Linked DNA regions of Cricetulus griseus. The protein of the gene in region 4 purifies or fractionates together with the protein of the main gene of each other region. This does not show direct contact. Links are inferred from orthologs where the notes say so. Each region holds a gene or a part of one and is shown on either strand. Other genes may lie near its edges.

The links.
Region 1: the proteins of Rab7a (region 4) and Gdi1 purify together in Homo sapiens (affinity purification with mass spectrometry; 4 studies listed by BioGRID and IntAct, counting the BioPlex papers as one, with this or other methods). This does not show direct contact. The link is inferred for Cricetulus griseus from reciprocal best matches to the Homo sapiens genes RAB7A and GDI1.
Region 2: the proteins of Rab7a (region 4) and Vdac2 purify together in Homo sapiens (affinity purification with mass spectrometry; 3 studies listed by BioGRID and IntAct, with this or other methods). This does not show direct contact. The link is inferred for Cricetulus griseus from reciprocal best matches to the Homo sapiens genes RAB7A and VDAC2.
Region 3: the proteins of Rab7a (region 4) and Arl8b purify together in Homo sapiens (affinity purification with mass spectrometry; 4 studies listed by BioGRID and IntAct, with this or other methods). This does not show direct contact. The link is inferred for Cricetulus griseus from reciprocal best matches to the Homo sapiens genes RAB7A and ARL8B.
Region 5: the proteins of Rab7a (region 4) and Plekhm1 purify together in Homo sapiens (affinity purification with western blotting; 5 studies listed by BioGRID and IntAct, with this or other methods). This does not show direct contact. The link is inferred for Cricetulus griseus from reciprocal best matches to the Homo sapiens genes RAB7A and PLEKHM1.

The regions. Positions count from the first base shown.
Region 1 is NC_048604.1:1,415,862-1,420,976, forward strand, and holds the start of Gdi1 (rab GDP dissociation inhibitor alpha), read right to left. Parts: upstream 3,294-5,115; 5' UTR 3,033-3,293; coding exon 2,988-3,032; intron 2,829-2,987; exon of another isoform or gene 2,597-2,828; intron 1,957-2,596; coding exon 1,849-1,956; intron 1,696-1,848; coding exon 1,596-1,695; intron 1,438-1,595; coding exon 1,303-1,437; intron 875-1,302; coding exon 676-874; intron 420-675; coding exon 288-419; intron 1-287. Other genes in the region: Atp6ap1 (V-type proton ATPase subunit S1), read right to left, coding at 4,310-4,519, 4,730-4,958, 5,048-5,095. UniProt on the Homo sapiens protein: Regulates the GDP/GTP exchange reaction of most Rab proteins by inhibiting the dissociation of GDP from them, and the subsequent binding of GTP to them. Promotes the dissociation of GDP-bound Rab proteins from the membrane and inhibits their activation.
Region 2 is NW_023276807.1:199,144,642-199,149,326, reverse strand, and holds part of Vdac2 (voltage-dependent anion-selective channel protein 2), read left to right. Parts: intron 1-216; coding exon 217-266; intron 267-3,639; coding exon 3,640-3,792; intron 3,793-3,889; coding exon 3,890-3,942; intron 3,943-4,333; coding exon 4,334-4,561; intron 4,562-4,685. UniProt on the Homo sapiens protein: Non-selective voltage-gated ion channel that mediates the transport of anions and cations through the mitochondrion outer membrane and plasma membrane.
Region 3 is NC_048601.1:35,665,193-35,669,877, reverse strand, and holds part of Arl8b (ADP-ribosylation factor-like protein 8B), read left to right. Parts: coding exon 1-9; intron 10-1,273; coding exon 1,274-1,347; intron 1,348-1,771; coding exon 1,772-1,865; intron 1,866-4,301; coding exon 4,302-4,369; intron 4,370-4,627; coding exon 4,628-4,685. UniProt on the Homo sapiens protein: Small GTPase which cycles between active GTP-bound and inactive GDP-bound states.
Region 4 is NC_048601.1:55,314,728-55,319,412, forward strand, and holds part of Rab7a (ras-related protein Rab-7a), read left to right. Parts: intron 1-2,340; exon of another isoform or gene 2,341-3,195; coding exon 3,196-3,414; exon of another isoform or gene 3,415-4,331; coding exon 4,332-4,460; exon of another isoform or gene 4,461-4,685.
Region 5 is NC_048600.1:114,748,867-114,753,551, forward strand, and holds part of Plekhm1 (pleckstrin homology domain-containing family M member 1), read left to right. Parts: intron 1-3,847; coding exon 3,848-4,095; intron 4,096-4,685. UniProt on the Homo sapiens protein: Acts as a multivalent adapter protein that regulates Rab7-dependent and HOPS complex-dependent fusion events in the endolysosomal system and couples autophagic and the endocytic trafficking pathways.

The DNA.
Region 1 (5,115 bases), on a different chromosome or scaffold from region 4:
AAAAAAATACAGAGAAACCCTGTCTCAAGAAAAAAAAAAAAAAGCCCAAGGAGGTAATTTCCATTCTTTTATTTATTTCATTTTATTTTTGGTTTTTCAAGAGTGTTTCTCTATGTAGCTTTGGCTGTCCTAGAACTCACTCTCTAGACCAGCTTGGCCTGGAACTCACAGAGCTCTGCCTGCATCTGCTTCCCAAATGCTGGGATTAAAGGCTTGTGCCACCACCACCAGGCTTATTGGTCTTAGTCATACCCACTAATGCCAGCTTGGGAAAAAAAGGTCCTCACCTTGCAAAGCCCTGGGGCAGCTCGCCCAGGCCATAGAGTGGGTACAAATATGGGCTCTTGCCATACCGGGCCAAGGACTCACTGTACAACTTGATACGGTTAATAGTCTCAAGACAGGGCTGATCCAGGTAGCTGGGGAACAAGAGAAGATGCTTTGACAGCAGCACTCCTGCTCACCTTCAAAGACACCATCCGCCTTCCCACCACCCTTTGTGACCTGGCAAAGATATGAGTCAAATGGAAGAGAGGGATGGAAATGCAACAGGTGAACTTATAGACAAGTACAAGAGATATGCAGGGTGGGCAGTGGATACAATAGGCAGGTGTGGGGAGGATAAAGTGTGAGGCAGACAAAGGGGCTCCTGCCACCAGCCAGCTTTCCCCTCACTCATCAGTGCGGTAGAGCGCCAAGGCATGGCCAGTGAAATCAATGACATCTTGGCCCAGATCAAACTTCCTGTAGACATCACGCATGCTGGTGGTCTGGGGGTCGACACCCTCAAAGGTTTTGGGGTCATTCTCATCAAAGTTTGCCACAAACACCAAGAATTTCCGGAAGCGTCGTTTTTCAAACATGCCCATCAGATCTGAAGGAAGGGTATTGAAAAGACTCTTTTTGTATTACTGGGACATAAAACTCTTCTTTCCACCAGAGCAGGCCAGGAAAGTTGGTGTCCTGGCTCCCACCAGAGCTCAGTCATGTAACCCTGCCCCACCCTTCTTGGCCTTAGTTTTCCTATTTGTAGGAAGAGGCACTCCTAGCTCCACTTGGGGATGCAATGGGGGTCAAGTAGGCCCTCTGCCAAAAAGAAATCCTCCTCAATGAGCTTCCTTTCTGGTAACTTGCCAGGATGGGTAGCACATTCCAATAAAGGTACTATAAAGCAAGGGGCCTCTGGTATTACATAGAGCTAAGATTAGGCTTAGGCAAATGGGAGCCTTTTGCCTAACTATCTTGAGAATAGTCTGCTTCCTCCTGTCCCATTATTCTCTGGCTAAGGAGACTCATACTTACTAGAAGCCAAGGCCTCAGTCTCAGTGGATGGTACTTTGTAGATCTTGCCTCCCTTGTATACAAAGCTGCCCTCAACCACCTTGAAGTCCAGATAACGAGTCACTTCTGTATACAGCAGCATCTTTACCAGCTGACCTGTGTCCAGAGAGGATTAGGGATGTCAGTGTAGCTCCCTTCAAAAATCTCTCAGTTGTCTGACTGACCTTATTCTGGAGCTTGAACCTCCCCTCTGGTCTTCCCAATCACCACCACCCACCAATCACCATATACATTATCTTCTTAATCTCCCTCACCATTGGCCATGAGAAATTTGGGGATCAAGTCAACATTCCAGTCTCGGCCCCGGCCCATTGACTCAGGGGGCCCTTCCAGCAACTGAAAACGTTTATATAGCTGTAAACAGGACAGAAAGAAAGAAAAATGTCAAGGACCACCTATCCCTCTCCCATTCTCCAGCCCAGCACCTGGGAACTACTTTGCCCCCATGCCCCTATGTGAGAGACTAAAAAGGGGTCTGGGTCTTAGCTCAAGTCCAAGAAGCCTTACCTCTTCCAGGGGTGTGATGGAAGAGCTCTCACCCCCATAGTAAGGGTTCCGGTCCATGTGCAGCACCTTCTTTCCATTCACAGACATGATGCCAGACAAGATGCATTCCTGGGGGAGGGGTGGCATTTGCAGCTACACTCCCATCTGCCTTCTGACCTGCATCCCTGGTTTGTCCCTGACTCAAACCCGACATAAATTTTGTAACATAAATCCCTGCCTCTTGTAGCACCTAAAACTGGAGAGAGGGGAAATGGCTTCATTCGATGTTTCCTTTATAACCCTGTTAGGCAAGACGGTGAAATGCCAGAGCATTAAATGAGGCTTAGGGAGGCAGAGCTTCCAGCAGACCCAAGGACAGTCTTCTAGTACCCACAAGCCAAGTAAGTATCTGCCTGCTCTGAGCCCACAAAAAGGTAACGAGTCTGGAGAAGAACCAATTCAAATGAAATCCCAGACCCCACCCTGGGCTGCTCCTCCTACAAAGGCAGGAGCCCCTGACCCTCCAGCCCTATCTACCGGTCCAGACTCAGGGTGCAAACCAACAACCAATCACTGTCACTAGCCCAAGGACAAAGGCAGAGGATATATTCAGCCTGAGATCTCCATGGGAAACCAGACTGGGGTAGAGGGAATGTCGTAACTACCCCCACTACTGCTGCTTCTGGAACATTCCCTGAATTACCGTCCCCTCTCAAAAGGCAAAAAGGCAGGATGAGAACCCACCCTTGGAATGCCCCCATACCCATACCTTTATACTCAATGCCCTAGTGTGATCACCACAAAATGGTAAGAGATGCTAATCAAGGATGCTAAGCAGGTGAAGGGTGGGGGCTGGGCACAACCGGTCCGGGGGGGGGGTAGTTTTCCACCTCGGTGACACAGATAGGGACGATGAAGGGGTCCTAGGGTGCAGGGATACAGGCTGAAACAGGGTCCTCTACGGGGAAGCAAGAAGATGGCAGCGCCGTCGAGTCGACATCCTAGGGTGAGGCAGTGGGGTGGGAGCGGGGTTGGCTTTGCCAGGACCAGAGCCAGGAAAGCAATGATGGGAGAATGAGACCGGTGACCAGGGCTCTGCATCACCGCGGGGGATGGGAAAGGCATGCTACAGGGCTATGAGTGCCTAGGGTGACACTTACGGTAAGACCTGTCCCCAGTACTATCACATCGTATTCCTCGTCCATGGTCAGGCCTTGGTACCAACGCCCGCTCGGCTCCTCCTCCTCCTTCACCACAGCAGCCACTGCCGCCGCCGCCGCTGCCACCGCACTGAACCAAAGATGGCGGCTATCAGTCGTCTCCAGATCCTTCCGCCGCGTCAAAGAGTCCCTCTCCCTCCTCGGGCCCTGCCACACCCTAGCGATGCCACCGTTTCTCCCGCTTATTTTCTGGAAGGGCTTCCAGCGCCTGAGTCTCCGCACCAGTACAATTTCGGGGGCAACGCAGATCTTCGCGAGCCCAGAGAAATGCGGGGCGGGGCGGGTCCGTGGCAGGTGCTGCGTCCCGCGAAGATCCATGCGCGGGAGCCGAGAGCGCCCCGCCCCGTCCCATCCCTCCTGGCGCGATCCCATACCGCCCCTCTGGGAGAAACAGCAAGGCCCTGTGGTATTTGCAGTTGCCTGTATCTTTCATTGTAAGGACTCTCCCCAAGGCCAGGAGAAATAATGGGCCTCTACCTTAACTCGTTAAGAGTATCAATCAGCTTGATGAAGACTCTCCCACCCTTCCCCTCTCACCTGTTAGGACTACACCTGGGCACTTCTTCCCCTCAGTCAAAAACAAATCTACTGTCAAGTGCAGAAATGAGTGACTCAAAGCCGAAGCCCAACACATATGACAACACGTCTTTATTTTATTAGGAAGGGAAACAAAAAGAGTACCCCCATCCCCATCTCTTGGCAGACAATCCTAGTGGGAATAAGCCTTGTGGAGGTCTCTTCTTTCTCAGGCTACAGAAATAAACCCCAGTGTACAGATCATTCTTAACATGTCACCCAAAAAACACAACAGCCAAGCTGGACAGACAGTTAAGTAGTCTTTCCATACATCTCAAACTCAAGGAACCTCAAGTTTATTGCTGTTGCTGGAAGATTCATAAAGCTTGGGGAGTGAGCATTAATTACACAGAAGCACTATAAACAGCAAGTAGCGGAGGGGCAAGAATAAATAAGGGGGAAAGGGAGAAAGGGAACCCTAGAATTAATGTTCCTTCCCCTCATGATGATGGAGCCTGGAAGATTTGTCTAATATCTATGAAGAATATATACACTTTGTTGGTAGAGATGGGGGATAGCCCCAGGGAAGCCAGTCCCTCAGTAGGTTGAAGAGGAAGCAAGACAGGCTGAGGGTACTGCAGGGTTCATGCTATCGAAGAGAAAAAAAACTTTCTATCCACTATGCCACAAGATGCAAACATGACAACCTAGACACCAACACTCCCTCAATCTCTCTCTGGCACAGGTCACACAATCTGTGTCAAAGTGATGGTGGGGCCCTTGTGGTCGTCAAAACGATCCATGGTCTTGAGGCTGAGTATCATGTGCAGGCCATAGGTGAAGATGAAAAGCATGAAGAGGGTGGTGAGCAGCCCCATCCAGATGCCTGGAGAGAAGAAGCCAGCACAGTCGCTAGCATAGGAGAACTGCTCACCCGTCACATTGAAGGCCTGGATCTAGGAGACACATAGACATGGATCAGAAGGGACCACAAGTTTCTACAGACAACAAGGGCTGGGGTTCTGGAATCAGTGAACAGTCTAGACCTTCAGAGACAGCATAAGGATGGAACTCTCAGCTACATGCTCAAGCCATACTGAAATTCTCTGGGCTCTTCTTCCCTCCCCCTACTGCCACCAGCTTGGAGCCCATTCCCCCTTTAATACCTGGAAGTCCTGAAGAGTCATCTGCCAGAGTGAGGGCACGTTGGTCACAAGGAGATTGCCTTTCTTGCTCAGACTGCTGACATACTCACAGTGGAAAGAATAGATGCTGGGTCCCGTGACTTGGGAAACATTGAAATGGGAAACAGAGCCATTGCTGTGGATTTCAAGTCGTTCCATAGTAAACCAGTATCGGGCAGACACTGGGTAGAAGCGACTAGCCAGAATGAACCTGGGAGGTGAGGGTAGCAGAGATTGTCAGATGAACAGAAGACAATGGAGACATACCAGCCAAGCCACACTTCAACCACCAGAACTTACTTGAATGTCACCATTGCACCAAAGAGTGGTTCATAGGTCAGTGAAAGCCTGTGGGACAAGGCAGAGGG
Region 2 (4,685 bases), on a different chromosome or scaffold from region 4:
CTCTAACATTTAAAAAGTGTCTTGGAAAGGGTGTGTCAGGAAGTGGAGCCAATTTCCTGCCAGCATGCTGGGCAGCTGACTGCTTTTAAGTGCCTTGCAGGTGCTAGGCATCGGTACATTTTTGTTCCTCTGGACATTTGAATTATTTTAAATGTAACATGAATAATGGGTATATATCTGCAGAATAGTCATGTCTTTGCTCTCTATTCTTTGAAGGCTTTGGGTTGGTAAAGCTGGATGTGAAAACAAAGTCATGCAGCGGTGTGGTAAGTGTCTAATAAGTTCTTGTAACTCTTTTAATTTTATTTTAAGATTTATTTATTTAATGTATAGAATGTTCTGTCTTCATGTATGCCTACAAGCCAGAAGAGGGCATTGGGTCTCATTATGGTTGTGAGCCACCATGTATTTGCTGGGGGTTTGAACCAGGGTCCTCTGGAAGAGTAGTCAATGCTCTTAACCTCTGAGCCATCTCTCCAGCCCCTAATTTCTTAGCCTATAAATGTCTATAGTTGTTTTGCCTTAAGGAGGCAGAAGTTAATTTGTTTTGAGTGATTTGCATGTAATCTGATTTATTAGCTTTGGATATTTCTGCTTTTCATGTAGTTTTGTTATATTTGTGTGTGTGTGTGTGTGTGTGTGTGTGTGTGTGTGTTACTATGATTGTACAAAGAAGTGGGGAAAGACATTGGTTATTTGGGACTATTTACTCAGGTAGATTACAAGCTTGAAGGCCAGAAGCTTATAATCCACGCCCTTGTAACTTTCTCCTAATACCTGCCAAGGTATTCTGGGCTTAATAGTAACTTGTTTATTTGACCATACTGGTCATTTAATATAATGGCTATATTCTAACAGTCATCCATGGAGATGTCTACATACCTCTGTCCTGACCTGAATATTGCTTATGCGTTTATCCTCCCCAGTTGTTGAAACAAGGGATAAAGTAAAATATTGTATGCTTTTTTTTCTTTCTCTAATAATTTTTGTTTTGAGATTCAGAGATGGTTGTATTGTGTACATGCTAAACTATGATTATTGGGCACTGTGATAAATGCATGTTCTGAATATAACTAGTATTAAAGTTGTTCCTGGTAGGGATTCTTAATGGTCAGACCTGTTGCATTTATGGGGTTTTATATTGTTCTGTCCTGTGGTTTCCTTGGTTTGCAAAGAAGCTAAATATTTGGTGATGGTTGACTTGGCTGGGTTAAGAGTTTACAGAATATTAGTTAGCTGATTGCTGGAGATTGAAACTAGAGCCTTGTAGTTCTACTACTAATCTCTATTTTCATCCTACCAGGTTTTAAATATGTTTGTGCAGGTGTGTTACATTAAAATAAGTACCCCATCCTTGTTTTTAAAAAGCTTACTTTTAGACTGGGAGTATAACTTAGTGGTAAAAGGCTTACCCAGTTGTGTATGAGGTCCAGTGCGGAAAACAAACAAAACACCCCCTTCTAGTTACAAAGACAAACTTTAAGCTGAGAACAATTGGAGAACTGTATTGAGCACTAGATTTATAGATTTATAAGCAAAACATCCTTTTTTTCCTCCTGCCTCCCTAGTGCTGGGATTAACAGTGTGCACCACTACCACCACCACCACCACCACCACCACCACCACCACCACCACCCAGTGGCCCTTTTCTTTCTTGAATTGCAGAGATGTTCAGGCTACCCCAAAATGTAGAAGAAGTTCATAGTGATGGAGTGAATTGCTTTATTGTTGGTTTCATCTGTTCCAGTTTGACCTACAGACTAATACTGACCTTGTTTCTTGGGTATTTGTTGGCATTCATTAGACTAGCCCTTGATCTCAGGGACTGATGGGTGGTAGTAGCTGGAGCTTGGCAGTTTCTGATTTTAACTCTGCAGGTATCATAACTTCTGATAAACTTAAAACAAAATTTACATCAATTTTAGACATGGCTTTCCAGTGACTAGGTATGGAGACACTGATACAGAAACCCTAGGTCAGAACTCTTGACAGGCTTCTGGAAGGTTACATTTTATCTTGGGACACGTCCCTCACATGCAGTGAGTGCTTCATAAAGACAGATCCTCTGTGCTCCCTTTTTACCACAAGGGATTGGCAGATATATTCTATACAAATCCATGATTAAAACTTTTCTTAAAGATTTATTTTTAATTAAAGATGTTTTTATTTCACATGTATGAGTGTTTGCCTGTATGTCTGTTTGCCTGGTGCCTGTGGTGTCAGTTTTCCTAGAACTGGAGTTATAGATGGTTATAACTTGCCATGTGGATGCTGGGAACCAAATTTGGGTCCTCTGTAAGAGCAGCAAGTGTGTTTACTCACTGGCTGCTTTTCCGGTTCAAGGCTAAGCTTTCTATAGTACTTCCGAATTAATTCTGTTTTTTTTTTTTTTTTTTTTTTTTCCTGCTGACACATAGTTTATATTATTTATGATAAAACCCAAGAAGCTCCCCTACTCCACTTTTTTTTCCTCTTTTTTTGAGACAGGGTTTCTCTGTAGCTTTGGAGGCTGTCCGGGAACTTGCTCAGTAGACCAGGCTGGCCTTGAACTCACAGAGATCCGCCTGTCTCTGCCTCCTGAGTGCTGGAATTAAAGGCATGCACCACCACTGCCAGGCTAAAAAACTTATTTTTATTTTATGTGTATGGTTGTTTTTTTGCCTGCATGCGTATCTGTACCATGTGTGTGCAGTACCCACAGAGGCCAGAAGAGGGTGGTGGATACTCTGAATTGGAGTTACAGACTGTTAGTTGCCTTGTGGGTGCTAGCAATCAAACCTGAGTCCTCTGCAAGAGGAACAGCTCCTCTTAACTACTGAGAGCCATCTCTCCTGTCCCACGAAAATACTGTGAGTTGGGTGAGGTGTGGCAACACACACCTTTAATCCCAGCACTAGGGAGGCAGAGGAAGGCAGATCAGGCCGGCCTGGTCTATAAAGGACAGCCAGGGCCACATAATTGAGACAGACAACAACAAACAGCAAAAAGAAGATAGGTAAGTTGTTTGGAAGGGCATGGAACCTAGTGAAGACTCATTTCAGAAAAGTAGAGGGAGGACTGGAGAGATAGATGGTTCAGCATAAGCGTGGGTGCCCCTCTTGTAGAGGCCCTTCCTAACCACCCACATGACGGCTCACAGCCACCTGTAACTTCAGCGGCAGGGAAGTCAGACGACTCTGGTCTTTAGGACATCTGCACTGAATATTCATTCACATACATATGCAAATGAAAAATTCTTTAAAAAGGAAAAAAGAAGGAATATTGGGATAGTTGAGCCCAGATTTTACTTAAAATTTTTCACATCTTGTGTGTGTCATGGTGTAGATGTGGAGGTGAGAGGACAGCTTGGAAGACTCAACTCCTCTTCCTACCATGTGGGCTTTAGAGACGGAAGTTAGGTTGTCAGGCTTGGTTAAACCCAGTGAGCCATCTCACCAGCCCCGTGCGCTTAATCTTTATTGATTAGTTAGAAATGTAAGATGGCATTCTAGTGAGGTCAGTCAGTCCGTCAGGCTAATTTGTCACTGTTGAGTTTGCTTAGGAAGTAGCACAGTGTGAAGTTAGAAGTGTCAAATAAGTTAGGCAGTGGATTGTTCCAGGCTTAGCAGACATTCATGAAGTTGTTTATTGTCTTCTTAGGAATTTTCAACATCTGGTTCATCTAATACGGACACTGGTAAAGTCAGTGGGACCTTGGAGACCAAATATAAATGGTGTGAGTATGGTCTGACTTTCACAGAAAAATGGAACACCGATAACACTCTGGGGACAGAGATTGCAATTGAAGATCAGGTAGTGTTTCATAGACTTGCTTTTGTGTCCTTTTTGCATTTCAAAAAGGAAATAAAATGGAACATAAATCTTATATGCTCTTTTTCTCCCAAAATAGATATGCCAAGGTTTGAAGCTGACGTTTGATACTACCTTTTCACCAAACACAGGGTAAGCACTTATGTTTTTACAGGCACTGAACCTGAAGCAGTCTTGTCTGCTCAGAAGAGAAGCAGCTTCCTCCCTTTCAGTAGTTCACTGCGGAGGCCACTATCTGCTTTTGAACACTGCTTGCCACCATTGACTTTCTTCAGAAATTGGCCTCTTCTAGTGCTAATTGTGTCCTATCTTTTGCGACTGTTAGTTTTACAAAGCACTTTTCCTATGATGGGACAGTCCTGTCACCCCATGTGGGTTTGTTTTCTTTAACTTTTTGGTTGTTTTTAACGCTAAAATTGTCATACTGTGGCTTGTTTAAATCCGTCTCATGCTCACCAGGTAGAGCTAGGTATATAAACTTTGTCACTGGTATCAGTTTCAAACCAGTCTCTCCTTTTTTCAGAAAGAAAAGTGGTAAAATCAAGTCTGCTTACAAGAGGGAGTGTATAAACCTTGGCTGTGATGTTGACTTTGATTTTGCTGGACCTGCCATCCATGGCTCAGCTGTCTTTGGTTACGAGGGCTGGCTTGCTGGGTACCAGATGACCTTTGACAGTGCCAAGTCAAAGCTGACTAGGAGTAACTTTGCAGTGGGCTACAGGACTGGGGACTTCCAACTACATACTAATGTGTAAGTATTTCTCTATAGGCTTTCAGGGTGGTATCTGATGTCATTTCTTAGATCTATTTTTAATTTAAAGGGTATCTGACATGTGGTAGTTCTAAGTGCTCCTCAGTAGCATATAGTGTAGACA
Region 3 (4,685 bases), about 20 Mb from region 4:
ACAATAAAGGTACGTCAGCTTCTCATACTCTATGCATTTATGTGTTTATGTATTCATATGTGTTATGTGGTTATATATGGATGCAGAAATAGCATGTATTGCCCTGTCCCTCTCTTTATACTTGATTTAAATTGTAATCAAAGAATTTTCTATTCCTCTGGTTTTACCTGCTATTTATAATTCTCAAGTAATGGTTGGATTATTCCAAAAGTCAGTTATTTATGTTTTCTGATAAGTTAAAGTGTTTTAGAGTTGAAATGTAGCTTAGTGTCCATAAAAGTCAACTAACCATGTGGATTAGTAGAAGTGACATTTGTTATCTTGAGAATTCAGACAATAACAGTCACATCTTCAGTCTGAGCAATGTTGTATATTGAAAGGTGGTAATTATTTATGGTAGTATCCTTTTAGTATATTTGTGGTAGCAAATACTGTAATCCAGTTTCTTTCCTTTCTTCATTATTAAGCCTAAAGTTGAAACTAGATTAGGAAAAGTGCAACTCATTTTTACCATAATTTCTTTTTAACTCCTGGACTATAGGAATAATAGGGAATTTTAATTTTTCTTGTTACCCTGGTTTTCATTCTGTAATTCCTGTGAGTTTGCCTCTAGCCTGAACGTGTGAACATTTTACCCAGTTCTTGTTGACAGATCTGCTTGCCAAGTTCTGTCTATGGCTTTTCTGATGACACTTCTCAATTTTTACCTGTGTCTCTATGCATTTTACCAGTGTTAGTGCTTAAGTTGGAAACTACTTTAAAGAAAGCCACAACTTAGTTTTGTAGCCACGTGCAGTATAGTGAAATTATTATGGAGAACTCCAAATGAAGTAATGTTGACTCTGTTACTTACAGAATAATGTAAGAAGACACACTTAAAGTTTAGGAGGTCCTGAACTTTTTTTTTTTTTTTTTTTTTTGTCTTGGCATCCAAGTCTGAATGTTGCATGTTTTTGTAGATGTTACATTTGTTATTATTTTAAAGTTGTATATATCCATGATTAGAAATGTATTGGGTAGTAATTAATTATCACACTCATATTTAACCAAGTCATTGCTCAAGCAAAATTTTAGATCCAGCATTCACATATTTAGAATTTCAAGTTGGGAAGGGGCCTCAAGATTTCACAGATTGAGTTTGGGTTTGAGACTTTAGGAGTACTCTGACTCTATAACATTTGACATGCCTGTGACTGTTCTCCAATTCTGGTAGTACCTTTGTCAACGACTCCTTGTAATGTTCTTATTAAGAATTGCCTTGTTTTGATTAAAGATCTGGGACATAGGAGGACAACCCCGGTTCCGGAGCATGTGGGAGCGGTATTGCAGAGGAGTAAATGCTATTGTGTAAGTTGGTGGTGGGCTTTTTTCCCCTTCTTTTAGTCTGTCAGTTTAGTCTTGAAAGAAAAAAATTGTTTTTTAATATTTCCAAAGGTAGATTAATAATTATCTGACAGTAATTGTATTCTTTGCCAATATCTCAGTATAATTCCATTAACATGGAATTTTTTTTAAAAAATCATAGAATAAGGGCTTTGTTTATTGATTTCTTTATTCATCTGAGTGCTGTGCTGTGTGTTTTCCTGAGTATAGCATCTACTAATTAGTCTGTGAATAATGTAGTTAAAAGCATTTATTCATGCTGACGTAGGACTTAATTTCTTTTGATTAGCAGTTTCAGTATTGTAAATATTAAGAAACCTTAAGATCTATAATCCTAGTTCATTGAGATTCATAGAGATGGCATGTTGATATCTCTTTGTTTTTTAAGTTACATGATAGATGCTGCAGATCGTGAAAAGATAGAAGCCTCTCGAAATGAGCTCCATAATCTTCTAGATAAACCACAGTTACAAGGAATTCCAGTAAGTTTGGAGAATCTGGCATTTTGTATTTGCAATTATATATTTAACATTGAACCAGTGTAAAGATTAAAGTCTCTTTATTCAAGAAAACACCAGGCTAAAACACAGGCCAGAGCTAGGTTATAGAACCCAGCAAGCGCGGCCAGAACAGAAGGGGCCCGGGTCTCCACGAGCCGGTCTTTAAGAAGCCTCCCTTACGTCACCTTGGCTTTCCTAAATCACGCCCTTATGGGCGAGTCCCGGGTCCACCTGGTACCTGTCCCAGGGCGGGCCTAGGGTGTCTCCCTACAAATCAGTCTTGGTTTTAGGATCCTTATGCCCCTCAAGAATGGAGATCTGATGATTCTCAAGATCTTTTTCATTTTCTTTTTTTTTTTTTTTTTTTTTTTTTTTTTTGAGATTAAGCTTCATGATATAGCCTGGGATGGCCTCAAACTTGTTATTCTGTTGCGTCAACCTCCAAAGTGTTGGGATTATAGGAATCTGCTACCATACCTGGCTTCTCAGGTTCTTTGTGGAAAATGGTATAGTATTCACATGCAAGTTACATATTCTTCCATGAGCTTTGAATTATATTATATTTAGATTACTAACAATACTTAATACAACAGAAGTGCTTTGTAATAGTTTTTGACTGTACTGCTTAGGGAATGATAGCAAAGGGAAGACTGTACATATATTCTCAGTGAGGTTACAGCCCCCCTCCCATGTTTTTACTTAGCTTTATTTTTGTTTTTTGAGATAGATTTCTCTGTATAGCCCAGGCTGGCCTGCATCTTACTGCATAGCTAGGCTGGCCTCAAACTGGATTATCTTTCCACCTCAGTTCCCAAGCACTAGAATTAAAGTTCTGAGTCTCCTGCCTGGCTTCCCATGTGTTTTTGATGTGCAGTTGGTTGGACATGGAGCCTGTGGGTCTAGAGAGCTACTAATTATATTTGAAATTAGCAAAATGTCTTCTTTTTTTAAAGTTAGGAGTACTTTGACTCCAACATTGTGAAATTGAGCAATTGAATAGAATTTTTATCTTTCTGATTTTCTCTGCTACTTCCTCACAAATAATGAATTATTTGAAATACTTTTGTTAAGAATTGTTTGTCTCAGCTGGGCGTTGGTGGAGCACGCCTTTAATCCCAACACTCGGGAGGCAGAGGCAGGTGGATCTCTGTGAGTTCGAGACCAGCCTGGTCTACAAGAGCTAGTTCCAGGACAGCCTCCAAAGCCACAGGGAAACCCTGTCTCGAAAAAAACAAAAAAAAAAAAAAAAAAAAAAAAAAAAAAAAAAAAAAAAAGAATTGTTTGTCTCACCTGGTTGTGGTTGCTTTTGGCTATGATCCCTGGGCTGGCAAGCCTGAGGTGGGAGTATTACTGTGAATTCTCGGCCAGCATGCAAAAGTCCTATATTCATTTAAAGATGTGTGTGGGAGAATAGCCCCAGTTCTGGGGTGTGTTCTTAAAAACTGAGTCACTTTTGTCCAGTGTTTGCTGGATCCTGGATATTGTACTGTCTATAGATACCTTCACTAGACAGTCACCAAACTGTGTAGTGAGAGCAGTGCTCAGTTCTGGGGCTATGGTGATGGACAGAAGTTACCAGAATACTTCATGCCAGGGGAGAGAGACTTTTGGGGGGAAAAGCATCTAACAGTGCAGCTTTGGTAATCAGTGTTAAGACAGGGGCAGAGTCCTCAAGAGTTGCAAAGATTTATGTAGTTCAAGGTAAAGGAATAAGGCTCTCTGAGCCAGTGAAGTATGAACGGAGCTCTGAAGGACATGTGGCAGTGTGGTACAGGATGTGATGGTTGGTAAGGAATAGTTCCAGGCACAGGCCCTTTGGTGGGAGGAAGCAGTCTCCAGAACACAGAGCCTTGGGAATGGCTGGATTGGGTGACATACTGAGCTGTAGCTGGGATATTAGGGGCCACACTTACAAGATTGTGTGGAAGGCCTTTGACATGTTTTAAAGAATAGGAAGTTCTCTCTGACTCAGCTACCTCTCTCTCCTCTCTCTCTCTCTCTCTCTCTCTCTCTCTCTCTCTCTCTCTCTCTCTCCTATATTTCTATATTTCTATCAGTTCTTTTGAGAATTTCATTGTTCATGTGTGTGTCCTAGGGATTGAACTCAGGTCATTAGCCTTTCTACACTGAGCCATCTCTCAGCTCCTAGAGTATCTTAGAATATTTTAAATTCAAGTTGGCCACAGACTGAATTGCGGCTGCCTTTATTGTAGGAGCTATGCAATACTAGGATAAATTCATAAATAAAATTGGCTACCAGTCACTCAAGTATATTTTGATTTATTTATATTTCTCAAGTACACTTTATAATTAAGGTGTATGTTAACATGAAGGTAATTTTGGAATATTTATATACTACTTATGCTTCTGTGATCTTTTTTGTACATAAGATTTACCCATATTATCTTCTTTTTAAAGGTACTAGTACTTGGAAACAAGAGAGATCTTCCAAATGCCTTGGATGAGAAACAGCTAATTGAAAAAATGTAGGTCCTAAGAAGAGTAATGTTGAGAAGCTTGTTGGTAAATTATAGACTGTCCTACATTTTGTAGGCATGGTTACATTATTTATTAATGATTCTACCTTGTTCTTAGATGGATAAATTGGGGCAACCAGAGATGTAAATCTCTAAAATTTTATTAGTGGGAAAATATTCTTTTGCATAGTAATGAAAATAAGTGAAACCCAGTAAAGAGTAAGTATGACAGCTGCTGTCATTTTTTATCACTTCTGTTTCTTACAGGAACCTGTCTGCTATTCAGGATAGAGAAATTTGCTGCTATTCAATTTCTTGCAAAGAA
Region 4 (4,685 bases):
GACATAATGATACCCACTCTCAAAAGATCAAAGAGGAGCCAAGAAAAGTGTGGCCATGGAAGCCAAGGAAGGAGCATGAGGTTGCCAACTAGTCATAGCACCACAGTCCAAAAGGCATAGTCATGTAGGTTGTTTTCAGATTTAGAACTCTTGGTACTGAAAGCATGGGTTCTTTCTCCTCTGGCCTCCATGGGCTCCCCCCAAAGACAGAATAAGGATAAAACAAACCCAAAAGCATAGAGCTAGAGTAATTGCAAGATAGAATGCTTGCTATGACACATGAGGCCCTGGGTTCTCTCCCCAGCACTGTGGAGCCAAGGAAGCATAGGTAGCTAGCTTCCCTTGGTGTCTACTCAGAATTGGTCCAAGATATTTCCTCACCCAGATACAACTTTTATATTGTGTCCAGGCCTTCAGTATTATGGAGTTGAAATGGTCAGGTACTTGCATTTTAGATGTTTTTACTCTTTTGGGGGGCCGCTACCCAGCTCATAAATAAATCACACACACAAAGCCTCTGGTCTTATTCCTTTTCTTCTGTATTCTTGCTTCACTCCATGGCTGGCACCTTCTTTGTTCTCCCCTTCTCTAGTTCCTTGATCTTCCTCTAATCTTCTTTTTATTCTCTCCCCCTGCCAGCTTGGCTTATTTCTCCCTCCTGCCTTGCTGTTGGCCATTCAGCTCTTAATTAGACCAATCAGGTGTTTTGGATAAGCAAAGTAACACAGCTTCACAGAGTTAAGCAAATGCAGCATAAAAGAATACAACACACATTCGGGAGGCAGAGGCAGGCGGATCTCTGAGTTTGAGACCTGCCTGGGCTACAAGAGCTAGTTCCAGGACAGCCTCCAAAGCCACAGAGAAACCCTGTCTCAAAAAACCAAAAAACAAACAAACAAACAAACAAGAGAGAATACAACACATCTTTGCTTCATTAAACAAATGTTCCAATGCTTAAATCATGTAACACATGTTAATTGTCCACAACATAGCATATAATCCTGGATTCATTCCCCAGCACAACATAAAACTGAGTGTGTTGGTGCTTGCCTGTCATCCCAGCACTCGGCAGCTGTAGGCAGGAGGATCAGAAGTTTAAGGCCACCTTCACCTACAGAGTAAATTGAAGTTCAGTATGGGCTGGTGCGATGGTGAAATGTTTAAGAGCATTGGCTCTTTTCCAAAGGACCCAGGTTTGAATCTCCACATGCACTGTGGTATTCACAACCACCTGAATTCCGTCTTGGGGAATCAGATACTCTCTTTTGGCCTCTTTGGACACCAGGCATATGTGAGGTATATAGACATACATGCAGGCAAAACACTCATAGAATAAGAAAATAATGAAATTTGAAATTAGAAATAAATTTTATAATAAAAATGATTTTTGAGTTGTCATGTCTACATAGAATGTAAGGATACTGAAACATGAATAATAAAAACCCAGAGAAGCAAAGCAGCCAAGCCAACAGAGAGCTCTGCTGCACTGCTCCTCACCACATCTCAGACTGCTCCTGAGACTGCACTGGGCTCCTTAGAGTCTCTCTAGAGCCGGGATTAAAGGCCTGAGCTCTGTTTCTCTTTTAGACTGATTCACTCTCTTGTAGCCCAGGGTGGCCTTGAACTCACAGAGATCCATCTGCCTCTGTATTGAGTCTTGGAATTAAAGGTGTGTGCCACCACTGCCCAGTTTCCATGGCTGAGGCTAGCTTTGCATTCTGATTTCCAGGCAGGCTTTATTAGCTCATAAACAACGTATCACCACAGGATACCCTCCCATATATCTTTAAATAATCTCCAAATTACTTACAAGACCTAATTCCATGTAAGGAGTTATTAAGGCTATGTCTAGGAACAATGATGAGGAGGGAAGTCCATAAATGCCTACTAAAGTTGTGGTCTGCTGTTAGTTGGATCCTCAGGTGTGGCCCACTTTGAGTTCTGCTATAAGAAACCAGTTTCATAACCATGGAGTTATGAAATGTAATGTCCCGTGGAAGAGTAGTGGTGGCTGTGTTTTACCATTTACATTTGTGATACTGTTGAGGAAGAAGCTACAAGTCAGGTGTGCATGAACATTCAGGAACTTGGTAAACTGAAATCACTGGAGCAGTGGTGTTGGCACAGACACACAGAAGGCCCAAGGGACATAAGCATAGGACCTTACTAGGAACTCTCCCTCAGAGTTCTTACTGAGGCTGGAGCAGAACTTTCAAGTAGAGTAGCTAGTGTACTCAGGATCTGAGTAAGATGAGAAAAACATAAAATATAAAAATGTTCAAATGGAAAGTAGAGGCTGTTTTTGACCTTTGATATTTAAAGTGAAGCAAGAACAAATCATAAAAGATCAGGATTTATTAGACCACATTAAATCAAATACATTGATTCATTTCGGAGTCTATATAAAGGAGCAGTAGAGCTTGCTCGGAGTTCGAAATGCCCTGTGTGCTGCTCCTACCACTACCTTCCAAAAACATTCAGTTAGAAAATTTAAAAGGACCATTTGACATAGGGTTGTATTTTTTTGTTCTAATAGTTGACAAATATGAAATGTACTTTTGTAAGTTTGAAGCTAAGGTCGATTTAGAAACTTGCTGGGAATAATGCCCCAATTTTCAGCTTGAGTTCTTGTTCTTTTTTTTCTGAATTCCTTATACCATTTGAACCTAAATTAAACATGGCCATATAGGACAGTATTTGTTCTGAACCAGTGGGACCTGTTGCTAGCTTCTACTCTGTTGTTCTTGTCTCTCCAGATCTTTTTGTAAGGGTTTTTAATTAATTTTGCTTTTGTTTTAAATTAAGAACAAAAACAACTTTTTTAATTAAAGAAATGACATTGTTCAAAATCCATTGGTAGAAATACTCATTTTAGTCACTAATGTTTTATTTCTACTACCTCTAGAAAAGCTTGTGGTAATGCATACCTGTAATCTCAACACCAAGCTGAGGCAGAAGGATTGCAAGTCCAAGGCCTATGTGGCTACATAGAACACTCAAATAAATAAAGCACAATAATCAAGCCCTTAGAAAGTTCCCAGAATACATAAGTGTACCTTCTTCATGTTCTGAGCACATACCTGGGAGTAGATAGAGGCGTTTCTTGCCACAGTCCCATACATGTGCACACAACACCCCACACACACCCCACACTGCCCAGCACCTCCTGAAGACTAGGTGTTTTTCTTCTTGCAGATCTGGGACACAGCTGGTCAAGAACGGTTCCAGTCTCTTGGTGTGGCCTTCTACAGAGGTGCAGATTGCTGTGTTCTGGTGTTTGATGTGACTGCCCCTAACACATTCAAAACCCTTGACAGCTGGAGAGACGAGTTTCTTATCCAAGCCAGCCCCCGGGATCCTGAGAACTTTCCTTTTGTTGTATTGGGAAACAAGATTGACCTTGAAAACAGACAAGTAAGTGCTAACATGGGAGTTAACATTCACAGGCCCCTCCTCCTCTGGTACCTTGAGTTTGGAGGGTTCTCTTCCAGACTCAGAATACTTTGGGAAGGTGCTGGTGGGAGTACTTGTCACCAGCTGACCCCAGCCAGCTTTGATGTGGGGCTGTCTTTTTCTCAGAGCCTCAATTCCCTTCCTGTCCCTTAAAGGAAGGAATTGATTTTCTCACTTCAGGATGGAAGAATGCTGTGGGCCTTGAGTCGTGTTGCTCAGCTGTGATTTCACACAGCATTTCTGTTGGAACATGTTGTGTTGTTGTTGTTGTTGTTGTTGTTGTTGTTTTGTTGTTGTTTTTTTTTTTTTGGTTTTTCAAGACAGGGTTTCTCTGTGAAGCTTTAGAGCCTATCCTGGCACTCGCTCTGGAGACCAGACTGGTCTTGAACTCACAGAGATCCTCCTGCCTCTGCCTCCCAAGTGCTGGGATTAAAGGCATGCGCCACCAACACCCGGCACGGTTTTGTTAATTTTTAGGTCAGCTTATTTCTGACTATCTCTTCCCCTTTCCAGATTTTGTCTCTGTTTCTTGGCTGGGGCAAGGGAAGGAAAGATCTAAGGGTGAGCGCTGCAAAATCCGTGCCACTTGCCATTTCTTTAGGTGGCTCAAGATGAGCAAGTGGAAAGGGGTATATACCAGAGATTGTCATGGACCCACCTTCCACCTCCTGGGATTGGCTCCTGGCCTGTGGCACACTGCTAAGGGCCATAAGGTCTGGCTGTGGACCAAAATAGCTCAAGCTTGGATCCCTCACATGGACAACAGAGTGACCCGACCTTTGGGTCTATAGGCCACACTCATCCTCACCCCCAGATCTGTTCTCACCAGTGTACTTGTCTTGGAGCTGTTCATGGCAGTAATGTCCTCCCTCCTGTAGGTGGCCACAAAGAGGGCACAGGCTTGGTGCTACAGCAAAAACAACATTCCCTACTTTGAGACCAGTGCCAAGGAAGCCATCAATGTGGAGCAGGCCTTCCAGACAATTGCTCGGAATGCCCTTAAACAGGTGGGTGCAGGGCTCTGCAGCTGCAGGCACACTCTGGTGATGTCCTGTGTTCTTTCCTAGATGTTTTTCTTCCCAAGCTGCACCTGGGAAAACGTAAGGTGCTTCTCCAGATGGGTAGGTCATAACATATTCTGCCTCCGTCCTTAGGAGATCACAGCTTTGTTAGTCATCTAAAAGACAGGGCAGAGCTAGGGTATGGCTTGGTGATAAAACACTTACCTAAGA
Region 5 (4,685 bases), on a different chromosome or scaffold from region 4:
GGTCAGCTCTACCCATCTCCCTTCTGGCTTCCAGCTAGGCCTTTGCAAGTTATCCCTGTCCCACCCTGGGCCCTCTGGAGCTAGAGCAGATCCCTGGTCTCCTAGCAAGAGCTGCACAGATCCACCCCTTGAGGTGTCTGGTTACCTGCATTCCCTGACACAGCACCTGATAGGCACTCAGTTGGAAATAGTTTATGCTTTTATACAATCTAATAATATATTTAAAATAGCATTTAAAATTCAACTCCAAGATTAAAATCTTTGCTTCAAAGGACACTATTCATAAAGTGTTGAGGGAAAGATGAAAAGATACAGTCCACAAAAAAAGAGAAGGTATTATCTCTGATAAAGGTCTAGTAGCTAAAATATATAGAAAACTACTTCAACCCAGCAATTAAAAGATAATCTGGGGGCTTGGAGATGGCTGTTCAGTAGTGTGTGCTGGCATAAAGCCCTGAGTTTAGATCTCCAGAACCCACGTAAAAGCCAGTCCTGGCAGCCTATGTCTGTAATCCCAGGGGGGAGGGTAAGGGCTGACAAATCCTCAGAGTTCATTGATCAGGTAGCCCATGAATTGATGAGCTTAGGTTCAATAAGAGACCTATAAGAATAATGTATAGAATGACTAAGACACTCACCATTGACCTCTTGCCTCCACACACGTGGGCACTCACCTACATATACTGACACATATAAGCACACACACCACACATAAAAACAGGTTGTACAGTGGACAAAAGATTTCTCCAAAAAAGATACACAGATGACCAATAAGCACACAAAGTAATTCGTATTACTGTTAGACCCGGAGAAATGTAAAGGAAAGCCTCGGTCAGGTGCTACTTCACGCCATTTGGGTGGCTGTAATCAGAATGACAATAGCAAGTGTCGTTGTTAGTGTAAAATAGTGGTTACTTGGGCAAACAACTTAGTGTTTCATAGAAAACTTAAATAGAGCTTTTAGGGTTTTTTTATTTCTTTTCTTTTTGGTGTTGGGGATGAAATACAAGATCCCACAAATGGAGGCATTGCTCTACCCCAGCCTGTCATAGGGAGCATAGGTTTTGTGTGATTTAACAATTCTTTGGCTTTTCAGGCAGGTTTTACTTTGTAGTTTAGGTTGACCTGCAACTTACTATCAAGATGGCCTCCAAACTCACATGAAAGTCCTCAGCTTTTAAGTGTCAGGACTGCAAGCCTGTGCCATCGGGCCAACTCTGTGTCTTATCAATTCTAGACCTGGAAGCATGTCTGCATAAAAAGGTGAAGACAAGCATTCAGAGCAGCACTATTCTCAAAAAGTGGGAACAAGCCAGGTGTTCATTTTCTTATGAATGACCAGATAAAGCATGGTATACTTGATTGTAAAAAGGAATTAAATACTGATATGTGCTATAATATAGATAAAACTTGAAAAAATGCCAAGTCAAAGAATCTATACTCAAAGTCACATGTTGTATGTTTCCACTTCTTTGAAATATCCAGAATAGATAAATCTGTACAGGCACAAAATAGATTATCCTACAGCCACTCCACCCCACTCCCAGCCACTGATACACACTTTCCTTCAGTGGTGTTAAAATGTTCTAAAATTAGCTAATGGTAAACGTTGCACCATTCTCTGAGTATACTAAAAACCACTGTGCTTTACTTCCTTTTCCAGAACTTTCTACATTTCATTAACTTTAAATCTTCAGTTCAAAGAAATTCAGTGAACTCTAGACAGAATAAATACAATAAAACCATCAGGTTTTGGTATTGTTTGTTTAGGAATATACCTATGATTAAAGTGATGATAAAAATATAAATAGAATGCTAGAAAGATGGCCCAGCAGTTAAGGACACTCACTGCTCTTTTTTTTCTCCCTTCCTTCCCTCCTTCCTTTTTTTCCTTTTTTTTTTTTTTTTTTGAAACAGTCACTCTATGTAACCTGGCTGTCCTAGAACTCACTCTGTAGACCAGCCTGGCCTCAAACTCAGAGGTCACCTGCCTCTGCCTCCCACATGCTGGAATTAAAGTCATGTACTATCATTGCCAGGCCACATTTTCTGCTTTTGTGTATACTATCTACTAAGCTCATTTAGTATTGCTCTTTTGCATATGGGAATGGATAGCCTATTAGTGCTCATCCCTGTAGAAGACTGATTCTCCTCTCAACAGCCATTGTAAATAAATCTTTTTTGTTTGTTTGATTTGAGACAGAGTCTCACTGTGTAGCCCTGGCTTCAAGAAATCTGCTTCTGCCTCCTGAGTGTTGAGATTAAAATGTGTGCCACCATGCTCAGTGTCAATAAATTTTTAGAAAAATTAGTGAAAGTAAAAGTTACTAAAATTCAGGAATGTGTTACTTCTGGGCAGGACCAAAACCAACAACAGAAAGAACACCCCCCACCCCCCCACCCCCGGGAAGTTTGTAGTTTAAATGGGAGAATTTAATGTGAATTATAATTTGTTAATTGATTTTTTTAAATTCAACTTTCCAAAGAACACTTACTATTCAGACTAAGTCAAAATAAAAGTGAAATGTTTATCTATAACTTAACACATGCTGCAAACCAGTTTTTTGCAGTTCTATCTAGTTCTTTGCTAGCACTAATATGACTTTAATACACTCATAATTATGATTATATACATGTTATGCTAAATTTCTACAACCCTTGATGTACATTTTGTAATTCGTACCTTCTATATGTGTACCAGGCACAGTGGCAACTGTTGGGGACACAGGGAGAAATGAAACCCAATTTCTACCCTCAGTCAGTGGCCCTTGCTGGGCTTGATGGTTCACATAATCTCTGAATTTGAGGCCAGTCTGGTTTACAAAGTGAGTCCAAGGCAGCCAGGCCTACAGAAACCCTTTATCAGAAAATAATAATAATAACAACAACAACAGATCTCTGAATTTGAGGTTAGCCCGGTCTACAGAATGAGTTCCAGGACAGCCAGTTCTACAGAAACCCTTTCTCAAAATAAATAAATAAATAAATAAATAAATAAATAAATATGAAAGAAGAAGCAATGTCCCAGGGTTATAGATCACAAAACATTGTTTCCACTTAATCTTTAGGGAATTGAGGCTCAGAGAGGTTAAGCAAAGTGTCTGCAAACAGAGCTGGTACTGCCTTTGGCTCTAGGCCTGGGCCCTTAGCTAATGTAATTAGGCATCTGTGGTCTTGACCTTTACCCCCACTGTGTTGGGGGTCTAACCGGGGGCTTGTGCCTGCTAAGTATACTCTTTAGCATTTGAGCCACACCCCCTAATTCTTTCTTGGGTTTTGCGTTGAAGAAATATTCTCTGCCTCTTTAGCTTATCTCTGCAGAATGCCCCTGAACTGCGATAGCTGTGATTACATGGATCTGGTATCTAAATATAAGACTAAAGTTTCATTAAAAAATAAATAAATAAATAAATAAATAAATAAATAAATAAATAAAGATGGGGGTTGAGAGATGCTTCTGTGGTTAAAAGCTCTTGTTTTTAAAGAGGACCTGGGTTCAATTCTTAGCATCACAACCATCTGTAACTCCAGTTTCAGGGGATTTGATAGCCTCTTCTAACCTCAGACACCAAGCACTCATGTGGTACACATACATACATGTCAGCCAAACACTCATACATAAAATAAAATTAATAAATCTGATTTTTAAAAACTATGTGCAAAACCATTTCTCTGTGTGCTGGATCTTCACTTGCCATAGTAGCTAGCTTTGCAGGAGTCTTGGGTTCTCTATAAAGGTGTGTATGTGGTTACACACATTGAAAAACAGGCCATGGACTACATTCTACAGACTTCATATAGGATTTACCCCTAAAGTCTGACTGTGCGTTTGATTGACTCCACTTAGGTCATCAAGAAGAAGCTAGTGGGATCTGTGAAGGCCCTGCAGAAGCAGCATGTGTCTCTGGACACAGTGGTCACCAGTGAAGATGGAGATGCCAACACCATGTGCAGTGCCCTGGAGGCCGTGTTTATCCACGGCCTACATGCCAAGCACATCCGTGCCGAGGCGGGAGGAAAAAGGAAGAAGCACACGCATCAGAAGCCTCTGCCTCAGCCTGTTTTCTGGCCCCTTCTGAAGGCTGTCACCCACAAGTGAGAGGGTTGGCATCAGGGAAGGGCTTCAAGTGCGGGGCACTCGACTCTCTTGAGGATGGCAAAGCCAGAAAACAGTGTTCTAGTGTAGGCAGTGTGTGAGGTAGGGCTGGAGGCAGCCTTATAGAAAAGCTTATCTCCAGACCTTGAGACACTCCACACTCATTAAGAGCCTGTGGCTGCTCCTCACCCCGGCACTGTTGACCTTTGACTACGGTAGGCTGAGTCATGTATTACATTGTGAGGCTTGAAAAGACCAAAATGTTCTCTGGTCCTTTTAACAGGACCAGGGTTTGCTGACCTTGCCTTTGACTAATTTTTCTATCATCTAAATTTAATTTAAAAAAATTTTTGTGTATGAGTGTTTCCCCACTCATACATTCATATCTATACATACCATGTATGTGCCTGGTGCAGGGCACACACGCCAAAAGAGGGTGCCAGATCCCCTGGGACTGGAGCTAGAGGTGACCAAGCCACCATGTGGGTGTTGGGAATCAGACTTGGGTCCCTGCAAAAGTAGCCAGTGCTGTTAACCAGTGAGCCATTTCTCCATTTCTTGTTTTAAACTTTATACTCATACTGAATTG